4 linked regions of the Saccharomyces cerevisiae S288C genome follow. The protein of the gene in region 1 interacts with the protein of each later gene in a biochemical or structural test. Each region holds a gene or a part of one and is shown in the gene's direction. Other genes may lie near its edges. The genes, in order: ECO1, SWE1, SMC3 and MCD1.

Region 1 (3,379 bases):
AACACTAATCGATAGATGATAATTATCATTTACCTACGCATTCGTATTATCGTATTCGCAGCTAGAGGCCAGTGCAACCATATAGATATTGCTATTAACTTCATTGTAGCTAAAGCACCCTGGGTGTTAAGGAGAAACATCAATAAGAGAATAGTTTGTAGTATTCTGTGAAATTTTCGGTGACCATGGTCTTCAAGGAGAATTCTTTAGTATATTCTATGTATCTATAACTAATTTCCAAAAAATGACATGTCAATCACTTTCCAGAGCTATAAGATATATTCAGGTTTATCCCAAAAATATTTACAGAGAAATAACCCTTGCAAAACCTTTTGGTACACGAACAGGCCCCTTTAAAAGTTTCTTGGCAGTTTTTTTCGTCTTCCTTCTTTTCCGGCCATAGCATCGTTTGCGGATCGTTCAAACTCCTATTATCCGATGAGCTACCCAACTGCCCTCCCATTAGGTAGTGGTTATTAGGGCACTTATTGTCTCTTGTGGTGTTGTAGTAATGGTTAATATAATTTTCGAGCAAATAGAGTGCAACTTGCGGTTCGAGTTCAATAAGATTAATATCCCTCAATGACTCAGGAGGTCCATTCCAGGGAATAGAAAGTAGTGCAGTTGCATACTGTTCATTAGTACCGTCTCCATTTTTGCCTCTGAGATTTGATGGCGGAAAAGCGACACATGAATTGTTGACCTGGAGTGCGCTCACTGTTACAATTAGTAAGGCCACGGTAATTGCTACTGCATAGGGCGTCATCACCTTTTCGAAATTTGACACTGCTAATTTGGCGCCAGTATAGAGTTTCTTTCTCTTGAATCCAATGAGATCATTATCCTAGTATAGAGCTTGTAAGTCCAAGCTGCACTTAAATATACAACGATCAGAAAAAACTCGTATAGTCTGTTGAAAATGCAACACGTATACCTCCGGAGAAGTATCTTTGGTTTTGATTTGCCGCGCAGCCTGTGTAAAATGGCGCACACAATCACGTTACTTGAATCTCAGTTCAGAAGTTTCTTTCAACACAGCCAATTGCATTTAGTCTGCTATGCTTAATATTGTAGCTACTACGTGGCAAACATAGCTGCCCGAACTACTTTATGCGTACGTGTCCACAGCAATTTGTATAACGACTCAATCAAAATTCTCTCAAACACCTTCATGGGAATCTGTCGACAATGTAATCAGATCTCAGCCCAATTGCCAGTATGTGTTCATATCTTATTCCGTGGCCGCCCCTCCAAAAAGCTTCAAAATACACTCACCAGGCTTACTTCTTGTTGGGAGAAGAACCGTTATCGTTCACTTGATAATATTCCTACCAGTATGTTGTCCTATATGGAGTCATGAGCATACATGGTGCAAAATTATGGAATTAGCGCAATGAGTTTCAAACAGCAATTTGATCTTTTTATAAACACTGAAATGCCAGAATTGATAATGTAATAGGAAAAAAAAATGAAAAGATTCAAAACCGAAGATAAAATGAGATTATTTTTTTCTTTTATGTAGAAACATCGATTCGCTTCTGTGGGTTCCCATATCCTCGAGGAGAACTTCTAATATATTCTGTATAATTAATATTATAGCATTAACAACGGTATAATCTCAGTCATTATCCCAAAATTCACCTATTTTCCCATCATACCGATCTTTGCGAATACTTGAGCATGTAAATCAGAGATTCTATGTAACAGCTGCCCAGAAACCAGAAAACGTCTCTTAACCACTTCCATTGTTGGCATGTTGAAACCTCCTGCCGCCTTGATCATCCTTCGACTTAGGGAAGAATCTTAACAAATGAAATTTAACGTCAACGCGTAATAGAAAAAAAGCCTTTCGCGTACTGTAATCAGTAATAATACATAAGGAGATGCCAGCTACAACGGACATCAACATATATCTATGTTTACATATTAGGGTTCAACAGAATATAAATCGTTGCACAAAATGAAAGCTAGGAAATCGCAGAGAAAAGCGGGCAGTAAACCAAATCTTATCCAGTCTAAATTGCAAGTTAATAATGGTTCGAAATCGAATAAAATAGTCAAGTGTGATAAATGTGAGATGTCATATTCCTCGACATCAATAGAAGATCGCGCCATCCACGAGAAATACCACACTTTACAGCTGCATGGACGTAAATGGTCGCCGAATTGGGGTTCTATAGTATACACAGAGCGAAACCATTCAAGGACGGTGCATCTATCAAGATCGACAGGGACAATAACGCCATTGAACTCCTCACCTTTGAAAAAAAGTAGTCCGTCTATTACCCATCAGGAGGAGAAGATTGTATATGTGAGACCAGATAAGTCGAATGGTGAAGTCCGAGCCATGACGGAGATAATGACACTAGTGAATAACGAGCTGAATGCGCCACACGATGAGAATGTCATTTGGAACAGTACCACAGAAGAAAAAGGCAAAGCGTTTGTATACATAAGAAATGACAGGGCGGTCGGAATAATAATTATAGAGAACCTTTATGGGGGCAATGGTAAAACATCTAGTCGTGGACGTTGGATGGTTTATGATTCTAGAAGATTGGTACAGAATGTGTACCCCGATTTTAAGATTGGCATATCGAGAATTTGGGTGTGCAGGACAGCAAGGAAGTTGGGTATCGCAACCAAATTGATTGACGTTGCAAGAGAAAATATTGTTTACGGTGAAGTTATTCCTAGGTACCAGGTAGCATGGTCGCAACCCACAGACAGCGGTGGAAAACTGGCTAGCAAATACAACGGCATTATGCATAAATCAGGCAAGTTACTATTGCCGGTATACATATGACTCTTTCGAAAAGACAGCGAGAAGGGACACTGGAAAAATGGCATAAAACTTTTCAAGGTTATTATTAGTAAGTTTTTTTATTATATGATATATATATATATAAAAATGAAATAAATTATTTCTTGATGGAGCCACTTATTTTTCTTATACCACCGGCGGCGCTTGTAGTCCTTCTCCCTGACGTTACTCTCCTATTCTTGGGCAATAGTTGTCTTAGTATGGTATCATCTGCGGCATTATTGATGTTCGTTGCGCTGGGTTCGTTATCTTCCATTCGGGACGATGAAGCAGAGGAGATATCATTTTTCTTGCGCGAAACTTTGGGATAATGATTACTTGTGCCGTTGGTATCCTGCATGGATTCGTCATCTGAGTTGTTGCTTTCTATTACTACCTTCCTATTCGCATGGGAAGTTGGATTACGATTATTGTTGATATCTTCTATAGTATTAGAACCGTTTTGGCCCTTTCTCGGCTGACCAGGCGAAGTCTGTGGGACGGCTGAGCTCTTGAATGAATTACTTCCATTATTCGCCGTAGAAGGTTGGCTCGAATTTCTGGCACTAAGCGCCC
Region 2 (4,596 bases), on another chromosome or scaffold:
TTAAATCGCTTAATGGCTTTGAAGGAACGATATCTGAGAAATAAATGCACTTACCATTGAATTTCGGCAACCAGTTCTTACAAAAATCATCCTCGCCTTCGTCCTGAGGCGGAATGATGACTTCAATAGGCAATGTAGTACCCGTGTCCCTCAACTTTTTGATCATCGTATACGCGAGCACAGAATACTTTCCACCTCCAATGGTGACAATGCCCTCAGAACCTGAGAAAAGTGCCTCTCTTTGTGGGATGGAAAAATTCAGTTTCCCTGATAAGGTGTCTGTAAACTTACTGTGCACTTCTCGTAGGCTTTCTTGTACTGTTTTATTCAAATTATAGCATTTACTCAAGCTCTCGTAACTTAAGTCACTATCGTGTCCAGAGTCGTGTGCAGCAACGTTATTTGCAAAGCTACACCCTTCCGCCCCATGCAACTTACTCAAGTCCGGAGACGAATCTGCCGGCTTGTTTTCCACGATGGCTTGTACCAGTGTTGTGTAAAAATTGTTTTTAAGGTTCGACCTTGTTAGAACCGGCAATCTAAGCTTTTTACCGTATAACCAACTAGAAGACACATCATTATGCACAGAACAAAAAAATAAAATTAGCACTACTGCGCTCACGATGACCTGCAGGATTTTTCTCTTCTTTAACCTAATCAGCATTGTAACCTGAACTATTAGTATATCCTCTTGTTGTGCTAGGAACCAGTCGTAAAATAAAAATTTCCAATAACCGTGAAAATGCTTTTTTCATATCTGCGTATATATAAAACACTTTAAAGCCGTGTTGATCCTTTAGTTGTTACACTTTTTTTTCCCCGCCGATGAGAAAGTGAAAAAAAAAATCCGCAAGAACGGGGAAAAAGATAAAAGAAGGCACTTATCTCTCTGAACTCTGCACCGAAACATGCATCTGTCGTCTATTCCGACTTGGCAACCAAAAGAAGCCCAAGAGCTAGTTGCACTTAAATCAGTAGAATCGTGAGATTGTTTATTATCTTACTTCTGTTAGAGTGCTTCGCTTTCCATGCATCAAACTATGGATTTGTGCTGATCTTGCAACCATCGTCCTCTAAGGAAAGAAATGTGGCACCTTTAAATAGGTTCCACCTCACAGATGCCAACATGTGGGAGATAGGGGGCTATTCGCAATTTATTAACGTCTCTAGTACTGGTAAGCCTTTCTAACATTCTTGTGGTCACGTGATGTGTATGTTTCTTTTTTTTATTCCTCCGGGTGATAACGACGCGAAAAATATTTTTTCATTTTTCTTTTAACCATCACAATTTGCGACGCGACGCGAAAAAAATGCAGAGAAGTAAAAGAATGCTGGATAAGAAATCAACAACACAGTTGAACATTGGCGTGCCCCTGTGTATTAAGTAAAGGTTGTCCAAGAGGCTCTTTTTTGTATGTATGCGTGTGTTAACTATCCTGCACATCATCTTGCGCAGTTAGTCCAATAAAAAAAGGATTACTACTGAACAGGTCTTACTATTTTTGATTGCGTAGTGCTGGGGAAAAGTAAACACACACAGGCGCACACGAGAACAGATGAGTTCTTTGGACGAGGATGAAGAGGACTTCGAAATGCTGGACACGGAGAACCTCCAGTTTATGGGGAAGAAGATGTTTGGCAAACAGGCCGGCGAAGACGAGAGTGATGATTTTGCTATAGGGGGTAGCACCCCGACCAATAAACTGAAATTTTATCCATATTCGAACAACAAATTGACAAGAAGTACGGGGACCTTGAACCTGTCATTAAGTAATACAGCTTTGTCAGAGGCTAACTCCAAATTTCTTGGGAAAATTGAAGAAGAGGAAGAAGAGGAGGAAGAAGGCAAGGATGAGGAAAGCGTGGATTCTCGTATTAAAAGGTGGTCTCCGTTCCATGAAAATGAAAGTGTTACTACTCCTATTACAAAAAGATCTGCGGAAAAAACGAACAGTCCTATTTCTCTCAAACAATGGAACCAGCGATGGTTTCCGAAAAATGATGCTCGCACTGAAAATACATCCTCATCCTCTTCATATAGCGTCGCTAAACCTAACCAATCAGCCTTTACGTCTTCGGGCCTCGTATCTAAAATGTCTATGGACACTTCGTTATACCCTGCGAAATTGAGGATACCAGAAACACCAGTGAAAAAATCACCCTTAGTGGAGGGAAGAGACCATAAGCATGTCCACCTTTCGAGTTCGAAAAATGCATCGTCTTCTCTAAGTGTTTCCCCTTTAAATTTTGTTGAAGACAATAATTTACAAGAAGACCTTTTATTTTCAGATTCTCCGTCTTCGAAAGCTTTACCTTCCATCCATGTACCAACCATAGACTCATCCCCACTGAGCGAGGCAAAATATCATGCACATGATCGTCACAATAACCAGACAAACATCCTGTCTCCCACTAATAGCTTGGTTACCAACAGCTCTCCACAAACATTGCATTCTAACAAGTTCAAAAAAATCAAAAGAGCAAGGAATTCGGTTATTTTGAAAAATAGAGAGCTAACAAACAGTTTACAACAATTCAAAGATGATTTATACGGCACGGACGAGAATTTCCCACCTCCAATCATAATATCAAGTCATCATTCAACTAGAAAGAACCCTCAACCTTATCAATTTCGTGGACGCTATGACAATGACACTGACGAAGAGATCTCCACTCCAACAAGACGAAAATCTATTATTGGGGCAACATCTCAAACACATAGAGAAAGCAGACCATTGTCACTCTCCTCTGCCATCGTGACAAACACAACAAGTGCAGAGACGCATTCCATATCTTCCACCGATTCTTCGCCGTTAAATTCCAAAAGGCGTCTAATCTCTTCAAATAAGTTATCAGCAAATCCAGATTCCCATCTTTTCGAAAAATTTACGAATGTGCATTCCATTGGTAAAGGCCAGTTTTCCACGGTCTACCAGGTTACGTTTGCCCAAACAAACAAAAAGTATGCAATCAAAGCCATTAAACCAAACAAATATAATTCCTTGAAACGCATATTACTGGAAATTAAAATACTAAACGAGGTAACAAACCAAATTACAATGGATCAAGAAGGGAAGGAATACATCATCGATTACATCAGTTCCTGGAAGTTTCAAAATTCATACTATATTATGACAGAATTGTGCGAAAATGGTAATTTGGATGGATTTTTACAAGAGCAAGTTATCGCAAAGAAAAAAAGGTTGGAAGATTGGAGAATTTGGAAAATCATCGTGGAATTAAGCCTGGCTTTACGATTCATCCATGATTCTTGTCACATTGTGCATCTGGACTTGAAACCCGCAAACGTCATGATCACATTTGAAGGTAACCTAAAACTAGGTGACTTTGGAATGGCTACTCATTTACCGTTGGAGGATAAAAGTTTTGAAAATGAAGGTGACAGAGAATATATTGCACCAGAAATCATTTCTGATTGTACGTACGATTACAAGGCAGATATTTTTTCCCTGGGTCTGATGATTGTTGAAATTGCAGCGAACGTTGTGTTACCTGACAATGGCAACGCATGGCATAAGTTGAGATCGGGTGATTTATCGGATGCAGGAAGATTAAGTTCCACAGATATTCATTCTGAATCATTATTTTCAGACATTACGAAAGTAGATACAAATGATTTATTTGATTTTGAAAGAGACAATATCAGTGGTAATAGTAACAACGCTGGCACCTCCACTGTTCATAACAATAGTAATATCAACAACCCTAATATGAATAATGGCAACGATAATAATAATGTCAATACTGCCGCTACCAAGAATCGTCTTATTTTGCATAAAAGTTCTAAAATTCCCGCATGGGTACCGAAATTTCTTATTGATGGTGAATCACTTGAGAGAATAGTACGATGGATGATAGAGCCCAATTATGAGAGAAGGCCCACGGCAAATCAAATCTTACAAACTGAGGAATGCCTGTATGTAGAAATGACACGCAATGCAGGTGCTATTATCCAGGAAGACGACTTTGGACCTAAGCCAAAATTTTTTATATGATAAATGGAACAAAAAACCTTGTTTTATTTACATACTTTTTTCCCACACGTGCTTATGGGCCGCATTGTATAAATAATCCAATAACGAAAAAGAGTGTAATTGCAGTCCGGTAGTAATACCATGTAAAACCTTAGATGAGTTTATTTTAAGTACAGCCGCTTCAAGCATTTTTATTTTTATTTTACAGATGTAGCAGATAACAACCGTTAAATTATATTATATATATATATATATATATATCAAATACGACGTATTACATATATATTGAGAATAAGGGAAGGATGGAAGACAAATGACAAAAAGTTTGAAGCATAAATATGTTCTTCGCTTAGATGTTCATCTTGGTTCTTCTCCAGTTTCTTCTCTTAGCGTTGTAACGGATAGTGTTGTTGGTTCTCAATCTGATCCATTGTGGCAATGGTCTGTTTTGCTTCTTAGCCTTAGCCATTTTTTGCTTGATTCTGAAAGACTTTTGAGCCTAATTAAAAGGGAAACATATCGTGCACATACGAAGTGTACAATTGTAAAAAATGTTAGTAACAATGTTCAAACTCATCAATGTGATGCATTCACGGATCCA
Region 3 (6,215 bases), on another chromosome or scaffold:
TAATAGTCCTTTTTTGGGTCGTAGTTAGGCGCTGCTGGGGGTGCTTGATGTCGTTGGTGTTGTTGCTGCTGTTGTTGTTGTTGGAAATATTGCTGGTTGAAATTCCGATGTTTATGCTCTTTATAGGTTTGTAATTGTTTCTGTAATAATCGGAAGTTCTTCATCACGTATGGATTGGTCGACTCTGAGAGGCCGTTATCTTGGAAAAATTTGTTTATCTGGTCATATAATTGCTTTTTGAACTGTGAATGAGGTTTAGACCTACTTTTATTAAGTATTGAGTTTACCATATACATCAGCAAATGAGGATTGGAATTCCATACATCACTCAATACCGTCTCAGGTAAAGGTTTTTGCTCGGACTTAGCATCCTGATAGTGTTTCCATGTTTCTAGTGTTAGTGAATGCCTCAAACTCTTTTTACAGAACGGCGCAGCCAGTTTAGCTCTCTTGACGTCCGGACTCATGCTAGAAGCCTGACAAAGAATGGAATCAATGTATACTAGATAATCGGTATGATAGTATGATTTTGGTTTGACAAAACCATCGGTTATTGGGGGATCTTCGAATAAATTTTTTGCCAAAGGTCTCGACAGTTGAACGTCTTCTATCAATTGTTTGATAATTTCCTCTAAAAAGAAGTAGTTGTTTTTAAAGTTTGTATCTTTGTTAAGAATTTTCATTGGTGTAATAAATGGCTTCTTATCCTTCAAATAAAATTCAATAATTCTATCCCAACTTCTAAACTTTTTGTTCTCAAATGCATATGTTGCTGGATCCAGGATCTGTCTTTTTGATGGATTCACCTTGTTCAATTTGGAAATAGTCAGGCTTAGTTTTTTACATTTATCATAGTCCATATCAATGGAAAGGCATTTTCTTATATTGAACGACGCATCTGAGTTAAGTACAAAGGTCTGTAAAACAGATATGACATAATGAATCGAAAGTCTTGTATCTATGCTTAAGCTAGCCAAATGCTTGTCGAGGATTGTTTCGTAATCCAAAATGATAGCAGCAGCTAACGAAACGTCAATTTCTTCAGCTAGTTTGTGAAAAAGAACATCGATGTGCGTGGAGAGGACGTTAACATCGTACGGCGTTATGCGTAGCAGCTCAGAAATATCTTCCTCCACAGAAACGTCTTTGGATGATATTTTGTTTCTGATGGTTTCATTCAAGGACAGATATTTCGCATACTGATCATCCTTCTGATGCACCTTGTCCCACATCCCAAAATCGACATACAGCTCTTGTAGCCTCTTTTCCGCCAGCTTCCCAAAAGAACCTTTGTAAGTTTCATTAAAAACGATTTTTTCAAATGTGTTAATAGCTCTTAGATGTTGATCGTTGGATAATTGGATCAGCCCAATTTTGTAGTATATTTGATTGGCTAGTTGAATTACGTCTGACATATTTTCACTTGCTGGATCCGCAGTCATGCAGTTTTGTTCCAACTGCCCAGCGATCCATTGGTATTTTGGCAAGGATTCAGTGTCTACTTTTAAATTCTTGTTCAATCGTTGTAACTCAGCCAAATCACATAACTTAGAAGCCGATATCAGTACTGGCAAAATAACGCTATACACTAAAAGACAGTATCCCGAGATCAGTATCATACTTCGTTTCGTAGACGTTAAGATCGGCCTTAGTAATACACTAAACCAACAATGAATGAAACCTTCTGGGCCCTTCTCGCAACCAACTCCTTTCACTTGGAATAACTTATAAGCAGTTTTGGCTCTATTTTTGCCTGCCATCGAAGTGTACACCTGTCACATTTCACTATTAGGAACCTAAAGAAAAAAAGTCTCAGGAATAGGAAAAGACGCGACGCGTTAGGAAATGATTAAACTAATTAAAGATGAGTTTTCAACCTCATCTTTAAACAGTTTCACCATTTTTTTACAAGACGACCTGCTGGAGTAACGGTAATAGTTCACGTCTGCAATGTATATCAAAAGGGTGATAATTAAGGGTTTTAAAACCTACAGGAACGAAACCATTATTGATAATTTCTCGCCGCATCAGAATGTTATTATTGGCTCCAATGGTTCAGGTAAATCGAATTTCTTCGCTGCGATTAGATTTGTTCTTAGTGACGATTACTCTAATCTTAAGAGGGAAGAAAGGCAAGGGCTTATCCACCAAGGTTCTGGTGGTTCAGTGATGAGTGCCTCGGTAGAAATTGTGTTCCACGATCCAGATCATTCTATGATATTGCCCTCCGGTGTACTTTCGAGAGGAGATGACGAAGTGACCATTAGAAGAACAGTAGGGCTGAAGAAGGATGACTATCAATTAAATGACAGAAACGTGACCAAAGGGGACATAGTCAGAATGTTGGAAACCGCTGGTTTTTCAATGAATAATCCGTATAATATAGTACCACAAGGTAAAATAGTCGCCTTAACTAATGCCAAGGATAAGGAAAGATTGCAGTTATTGGAAGATGTTGTAGGAGCTAAGTCATTTGAAGTAAAATTGAAAGCTTCATTGAAAAAAATGGAGGAAACAGAGCAGAAAAAGATTCAAATTAACAAGGAAATGGGTGAACTAAACTCTAAATTGAGTGAAATGGAACAGGAACGTAAGGAATTAGAGAAATACAACGAGTTGGAACGCAACAGAAAGATCTACCAGTTCACATTGTATGATCGAGAATTAAATGAGGTTATCAATCAAATGGAAAGACTGGACGGTGATTATAATAACACGGTATACTCTTCCGAACAATACATCCAGGAGTTGGATAAAAGAGAGGATATGATTGACCAAGTCTCCAAAAAGCTATCAAGTATTGAAGCTTCACTGAAGATCAAAAATGCGACTGATTTACAACAGGCAAAACTACGGGAATCTGAGATTTCTCAGAAATTAACAAACGTCAACGTAAAAATAAAGGATGTTCAACAGCAAATTGAGTCAAATGAGGAGCAGAGAAATTTGGATAGTGCAACTTTGAAAGAGATCAAATCTATAATTGAGCAAAGGAAACAAAAGTTGTCTAAAATTTTACCTAGATATCAAGAACTCACAAAGGAAGAAGCAATGTACAAACTTCAATTGGCCTCCTTGCAACAAAAGCAGAGAGATCTTATCTTAAAGAAAGGAGAATATGCCCGTTTTAAATCAAAGGATGAACGCGATACGTGGATTCATTCAGAAATTGAAGAACTGAAATCTTCAATACAAAACTTAAATGAACTGGAAAGTCAATTGCAAATGGATCGTACTTCTTTAAGGAAGCAGTACTCTGCGATTGATGAAGAGATTGAAGAGCTAATTGATTCTATCAATGGACCAGATACCAAGGGTCAATTAGAAGATTTTGATTCGGAATTAATACACCTCAAACAGAAGCTGAGTGAAAGTTTAGACACTCGTAAGGAATTGTGGAGAAAGGAGCAAAAATTACAGACAGTCTTGGAAACTTTATTAAGTGACGTCAATCAAAATCAAAGAAATGTTAATGAAACCATGAGTAGATCATTGGCAAATGGTATAATAAATGTGAAAGAAATTACAGAAAAACTAAAAATATCACCGGAATCTGTCTTTGGGACATTAGGTGAACTGATTAAAGTCAATGATAAGTACAAGACATGTGCTGAAGTAATTGGAGGTAACTCCCTCTTCCACATTGTCGTGGATACCGAAGAAACGGCCACTTTGATTATGAACGAACTATATCGTATGAAGGGTGGGAGAGTGACGTTTATTCCCTTGAACAGGTTATCTTTGGACAGTGATGTTAAATTCCCCTCAAACACTACTACACAAATCCAGTTTACTCCCTTGATAAAGAAGATAAAATATGAACCCAGGTTTGAGAAGGCTGTCAAACACGTTTTTGGAAAAACTATTGTTGTCAAAGACTTAGGTCAAGGTTTAAAATTAGCTAAGAAACACAAACTCAATGCCATCACTTTAGATGGTGATAGAGCAGACAAAAGAGGTGTACTTACAGGTGGGTATCTTGACCAGCACAAACGAACACGTTTGGAATCATTGAAAAACTTAAATGAATCAAGAAGTCAACACAAAAAAATACTGGAAGAATTAGATTTCGTAAGAAATGAACTAAATGATATTGATACTAAGATTGATCAAGTAAACGGGAATATAAGAAAGGTTTCTAATGACAGGGAGTCTGTCTTAACAAATATCGAGGTATATAGAACATCGCTAAACACCAAAAAGAATGAAAAATTAATTCTCGAAGAATCATTAAACGCAATTATACTAAAACTAGAAAAGCTGAATACAAATCGTACATTTGCTCAGGAAAAGCTAAATACATTCGAAAATGATTTGCTTCAGGAGTTTGATAGCGAACTCTCAAAAGAAGAAAAGGAAAGATTAGAATCTTTAACAAAGGAGATTAGTGCAGCGCACAATAAGCTAAATATTACATCAGACGCCCTAGAAGGTATAACTACAACCATTGACTCGTTGAATGCCGAATTGGAGTCCAAACTTATCCCACAAGAAAATGATCTAGAATCCAAGATGTCAGAAGTAGGTGACGCATTTATTTTTGGTCTACAAGATGAGTTGAAAGAATTACAATTGGAGAAGGAAAGCGTTGAAAAGCAGCATGAAAACGCTGTGTTGGAACTAGGTACCGTTCAAAGAGAAATTGAAAGTCTCATTGCTGAAGAAACTAATAATAAGAAACTGCTAGAAAAAGCAAACAATCAACAGCGATTACTATTAAAGAAGCTTGACAATTTCCAAAAAAGTGTTGAAAAAACGATGATTAAGAAAACAACTTTGGTTACTAGAAGAGAAGAATTACAGCAAAGGATTAGGGAAATTGGGCTTCTGCCAGAGGATGCTTTAGTAAATGATTTTAGCGACATCACAAGTGATCAGCTATTACAAAGACTGAATGATATGAACACAGAGATTTCTGGTTTGAAGAATGTAAACAAGAGAGCTTTTGAAAACTTCAAAAAGTTTAACGAAAGACGCAAAGACCTTGCGGAGAGAGCTTCAGAGCTGGATGAATCTAAAGACTCAATTCAAGATCTAATTGTTAAGTTAAAACAACAAAAGGTTAACGCGGTTGATTCTACTTTCCAAAAGGTTTCTGAAAACTTTGAAGCTGTTTTTGAAAGATTAGTTCCCAGAGGTACTGCTAAGTTGATTATTCACCGTAAGAATGATAACGCTAACGACCATGATGAAAGTATTGATGTTGACATGGATGCAGAATCCAATGAAAGCCAAAACGGTAAAGATAGTGAAATTATGTATACAGGTGTTTCAATTTCTGTTTCCTTCAATTCTAAACAAAACGAACAACTGCATGTTGAACAGCTCTCAGGTGGTCAGAAGACTGTATGTGCCATTGCTTTGATTCTGGCAATCCAAATGGTTGACCCTGCTTCCTTCTATCTGTTTGATGAAATTGATGCTGCACTCGACAAGCAGTATAGAACTGCAGTCGCTACACTTCTAAAAGAACTGTCAAAAAATGCCCAGTTTATTTGTACGACGTTCAGAACAGATATGTTGCAAGTTGCAGACAAATTTTTCCGTGTTAAGTACGAGAATAAGATTTCCACGGTTATTGAGGTCAATAGAGAAGAAGCAATCGGATTCATTAGAGGTAGCAATAAATTCGCTGAAGTCTAAGAGATATTTGAAACGATTTGTATATAAAAATATCAGTTTTGCTTACATAAATAGCTATTTGTATGTAATTATTACCATTGTCTCCTATATTGGAATTTTAAAAAATTTTCTTTTAAGATGATACTGTTACTAAACAATAATGTTAAATATAGTAACCAAGCTTTGATAATTCGACGTACAAAAAAGATTACTTTTCTTAAAGAAGTTGCCCGCTTGCTGGGAAAAGAGGTAAATAAGAATTGGTTTACATGAAGATTTTTTAATATATTAATACTTTTATATGCTTGATTATTTTTTTTTACTAGCTTTCTGTGACGTGTATTCTACTGAGACTTTCTGGTATCATTTTTTCTTGAAATCTTTTATTAATGATGCAAATCCACCACTTGGCTTCTTCTTCTTACCTAAAGCAGCACTAGCGGATTTCGCACTAATAAAACTTTTTCCATCATCAGATGAATCCCCTGAGTCATCAGAATCTGACTCAGATTTAGAATCTGAACTGGAATCCGATACGGAGTCCGAACTGGAGTTAGAGTCAGAATCAGAGCTAGATTCATCATCACTACTTG
Region 4 (4,271 bases), on another chromosome or scaffold:
ACTTCTTACTATTACACGAAAGACAAGTGTGAAATGCCTAGGAGATTGATGATTGACAAGCTCTGGCCTTGCAATAAAAATACTTATACACAACTTCAAATAATATAGAAAAGAAAGAAGACTATAAGCTAAAAATGTAGACAACCTCATTTAAATATTATTCTTAGGACTTGGTAATAATAGCTAATTTGTATATTATTCACCTCGGTCACCGCCTGTAATCACCTTTAACGAAAATAGATGCCCAGCCAATCAAAGCGCATTATGGAGTCGTCTAGGAAGGGGCCGTCCCATCATTGTAAAAGTTCATGTTAAATTAGATGGAGGATAACAATAAAGGTATCGTACACACACTGCTAAAAGAGCCTCAATCAATTTGTGAAGGTATAACTGTAGCCGTGAGGATAGGAAAATGTTACGTTCAATTATTGGAAAGAGTGCATCAAGATCATTGAATTTCGTCGCTAAGCGTTCATATGCAGAAGCTGCTGCCGCATCATCAGGTTTGAAGTTACAATTTGCTCTACCACACGAAACTTTATATAGTGGCTCCGAAGTTACTCAAGTGAACCTGCCTGCTAAGTCAGGACGTATTGGTGTATTGGCCAACCATGTTCCCACCGTTGAACAATTACTACCAGGTGTCGTTGAAGTTATGGAAGGCTCTAACTCTAAAAAATTCTTTATATCAGGTGGATTTGCAACAGTTCAACCAGACTCGCAGTTATGTGTAACTGCAATTGAAGCTTTTCCATTGGAATCCTTTTCACAAGAAAATATAAAAAATTTGTTGGCAGAAGCTAAGAAGAACGTTAGTTCATCTGATGCCAGGGAAGCCGCAGAAGCTGCAATTCAAGTAGAAGTTTTAGAAAACCTACAATCCGTATTGAAATAGCGTTTTTATGGTACGCATTCTAGAACTTGAGGGGAAGAAGTCTACGTTTTTAAGTGTTGACAAGCAATTCGCTTGAAAGCGCCAAAATTCATTGTTTGTTCTACTCGAATTTAAGTTTCCATTTTGGTTGATGTCTTAAGTATACAGAGAAACCGTTTATTAGCGTATATATACAGAAAATTTTATTATTTTATATTCAAAAACAAGAAAACAAAAGAGAAAACATTAACATGTAATTTTCATAACTAATAGTCCTAGAAAGTAATACTTTTTACAACTGTTTCTTTAAATCCTGTATGAAAGCCCTAGTTGCAGATCATCGTGTTATTCCAGTGAGTTTTCACTTCCCTAAGTCCTTCCTATTTATGTTTTAGTCCTTCTTGCACAGCAATTTTACTTCGGGCACTGTTGCCGTATATTCTAAAAAAATGAAAAAAACGTTCATGCCCCAGCGAAAACCAGTGTTTCCTCGTATTCGTGTCAGTAATTACACCAAAGTTTGTTCTACACTAAATCACGAATAAAGTGGGAGATTGAGTTCAACAAAATATCTGATTATAAAAGTATGAGAACAAGAAAATTAAGGAGCCTCCATAATAAGGTGCTTTTAATTGAGAATGAATGTTCATTAGTTGCTATATTGATGGTGATGGAACTCCAATTACCTAATCAAAAATATGAATGTTTATGCGAATAAGAGTTTGTAAAGAAAAAGATCCCTGTAGACTGGATGTGAGATGATGATTTCATTCCCGGCCTCTTAAATAAAAACAATTACCACTGCAAAAATGTTCTTCAAACGCGTTTATTATATAATGAAAAAGAAATTCAAATTTTTCGCGTTTGAAAATTTATGCTAAACAAATAACTCGAGGAGGGACGCGTCGAGAAAATCGCGTCTTTCTACTCTCACAGTGCTTGCATACGTATGGTATACAGTATCAAAAGTAGCAGAATTTGTCTTCATTATGATATATATATATATATGTACATATATATAGGGTGCTAAAAAGTATTCTTTTTGCTATTATTATTGCTTAAATCGCCGACCTTTTTCCCATTGTCACGAGAACATAATTGTTAAACCAATAAAAGGAAAATCCATAACAAAAAAGGACTGGTCAAAGAAAAGACAACTCAATTGCACAATTACTTTACAAGAAACACGACAATGGTTACAGAAAATCCTCAACGTCTTACTGTTTTAAGACTTGCCACCAATAAGGGTCCATTAGCACAAATATGGCTTGCTTCAAATATGTCGAATATACCAAGAGGATCGGTTATCCAAACACATATTGCTGAATCAGCAAAGGAAATTGCAAAAGCTTCTGGCTGTGATGACGAATCAGGGGACAATGAATACATAACTTTACGAACATCTGGCGAATTACTTCAAGGCATTGTTCGTGTATATTCCAAACAGGCCACTTTTCTCCTTACAGATATAAAGGACACATTAACGAAGATAAGTATGTTATTTAAAACAAGCCAGAAGATGACTTCTACAGTAAACAGACTGAACACTGTAACAAGGGTTCATCAATTGATGTTAGAAGATGCCGTTACAGAAAGAGAAGTTTTGGTCACCCCAGGGTTAGAGTTCTTAGATGATACTACTATACCAGTGGGCTTAATGGCGCAGGAGAATTCGATGGAAAGAAAAGTCCAAGGTGCTGCTCCCTGGGATACTTCACTTGAGGTCGGTAGACGATTCAGTCCAGATGAAGATTTCGAACATAATAATTTGTCTAGTATGAACCTTGATTTTGACATCGAGGAAGGTCCGATAACTTCAAAATCTTGGGAAGAAGGAACAAGACAAAGCTCACGCAACTTTGATACGCACGAAAATTACATACAAGATGACGATTTCCCTCTTGATGATGCTGGAACTATTGGTTGGGATCTAGGGATTACCGAAAAAAATGACCAGAACAACGATGATGACGATAACTCTGTTGAGCAAGGAAGAAGGCTAGGTGAATCAATCATGTCTGAGGAGCCTACGGATTTTGGATTTGATCTGGATATAGAAAAAGAAGCACCCGCAGGCAATATAGATACGATAACCGATGCCATGACAGAATCACAGCCAAAACAAACTGGCACAAGAAGGAACTCAAAATTACTGAATACCAAAAGTATTCAAATCGATGAAGAAACAGAAAATTCAGAAAGCATAGCTTCATCCAATACATACAAAGAGGAGAGATCGAATAATTTATTGACTCCACAGCCCACCAATTTTACGACTAAAAGATTATGGAGTGAAATAACTGAAAGTATGTCCTATTTACCAGATCCAATCCTTAAGAACTTCTTATCCTACGAATCTCTAAAAAAAAGAAAAATACATAATGGGCGAGAAGGGTCAATTGAAGAACCTGAGTTAAACGTGTCGCTTAATCTTACCGACGATGTAATTAGTAATGCGGGAACAAACGATAACTCCTTCAATGAACTGACCGATAACATGTCAGACTTCGTACCAATTGATGCTGGCTTAAATGAGGCTCCTTTTCCTGAAGAGAATATCATCGACGCAAAGACTAGAAATGAGCAAACTACCATCCAAACTGAAAAAGTTCGTCCTACTCCCGGTGAGGTGGCTTCTAAAGCTATTGTTCAAATGGCGAAGATTTTAAGGAAGGAATTAAGCGAAGAAAAAGAAGTAATATTCACGGATGTACTAAAAAGTCAAGCAAATACAGAACCAGAAAATATTACTAAAAGAGAAGCCAGTAGAGGATTTTTCGATATTTTATCACTTGCTACAGAAGGATGTATTGGTTTGAGTCAAACAGAAGCATTCGGAAATATTAAAATAGACGCCAAACCTGCACTATTTGAAAGGTTTATCAATGCTTAAAACCTAGTTACGCCGAGGGGATTTCTTGGTGGACCCAATAAGCTGATGCATATATAGATCAAAGACTTTAATTTATAAAATTGTCAATATTTAATATTAATATTCACAAAATACGATAAAATTCAAACTAATGCGGTAGAGCCACTACTGGCCGCAAGGCAGAATGATCTTGGCAACTCTACACGCTGGTGCATGGGTAGTATTTATTCTAAAACTTGCTGTATTATTTTGAATAGTGATATTAGGAATCGTCTGCCCACGTACACCGGTGAAGCCGAAATTTTCTCATGGAAACCTTGGGAATAGAAGAAAGGTCCATTGTAAGTGCTACATACTGACCATCTTACATAATCTTACACAACCCTGGTAATAAAGCCACGTCTAGAAAGTTTTCCAGGCCAAACAATCTTCTTTTCCATTAGCTTTGGTACATTAGCAGCCAGAGGAAACATTATGCAGTTTTTAAAGGCTCAACTTTTTATCTAATATACAAAACAATAAAGT

What was found.
Region 2: of the proteins of ECO1 (region 1) and SWE1, one has a biochemical effect on the other in vitro, tested with the Saccharomyces cerevisiae proteins (one study listed by BioGRID).
Region 3: of the proteins of ECO1 (region 1) and SMC3, one has a biochemical effect on the other in vitro, tested with the Saccharomyces cerevisiae proteins (3 studies listed by BioGRID).
Region 4: of the proteins of ECO1 (region 1) and MCD1, one has a biochemical effect on the other in vitro, tested with the Saccharomyces cerevisiae proteins (3 studies listed by BioGRID).

The regions. Positions count from the first base shown.
Region 1 is NC_001138.5:205,492-208,870, forward strand, and holds ECO1 (Eco1p), read left to right. Parts: upstream 1-1,960; coding exon 1,961-2,806; downstream 2,807-3,379. Other genes in the region: ULI1 (Uli1p), read right to left, coding at 257-766; phosphoprotein phosphatase CDC14, read right to left, coding at 2,922-3,379. UniProt on the Saccharomyces cerevisiae protein: Required for establishment of sister chromatid cohesion during S phase but not for its further maintenance during G2 or M phases or for loading the cohesin complex onto DNA.
Region 2 is NC_001142.9:76,223-80,818, reverse strand, and holds SWE1 (tyrosine protein kinase SWE1), read left to right. Parts: upstream 1-1,556; coding exon 1,557-4,016; downstream 4,017-4,596. Other genes in the region: alpha-1,2-mannosyltransferase MNN5, read right to left, coding at 1-664; 60S ribosomal protein eL39 RPL39, read right to left, coding at 4,345-4,494. UniProt on the Saccharomyces cerevisiae protein: Protein kinase that acts as a negative regulator of entry into mitosis (G2 to M transition) by phosphorylating and inhibiting the mitosis-promoting cyclin B-bound CDC28 at 'Tyr-19'.
Region 3 is NC_001142.9:298,585-304,799, reverse strand, and holds SMC3 (cohesin subunit SMC3), read left to right. Parts: upstream 1-1,950; coding exon 1,951-5,643; downstream 5,644-6,215. Other genes in the region: JEM1 (Jem1p), read right to left, coding at 1-1,619; APQ13 (Apq13p), read left to right, coding at 5,924-6,215; NET1 (Net1p), read right to left, coding at 5,986-6,215. UniProt on the Saccharomyces cerevisiae protein: Involved in chromosome cohesion during cell cycle and in DNA repair. Central component of cohesin complex. The cohesin complex is required for the cohesion of sister chromatids after DNA replication.
Region 4 is NC_001136.10:442,617-446,887, forward strand, and holds MCD1 (kleisin alpha), read left to right. Parts: upstream 1-2,066; coding exon 2,067-3,767; downstream 3,768-4,271. Other genes in the region: ATP16 (F1F0 ATP synthase subunit delta), read left to right, coding at 413-895. UniProt on the Saccharomyces cerevisiae protein: Cleavable component of the cohesin complex involved in chromosome cohesion during cell cycle. The cohesin complex is required for the cohesion of sister chromatids after DNA replication.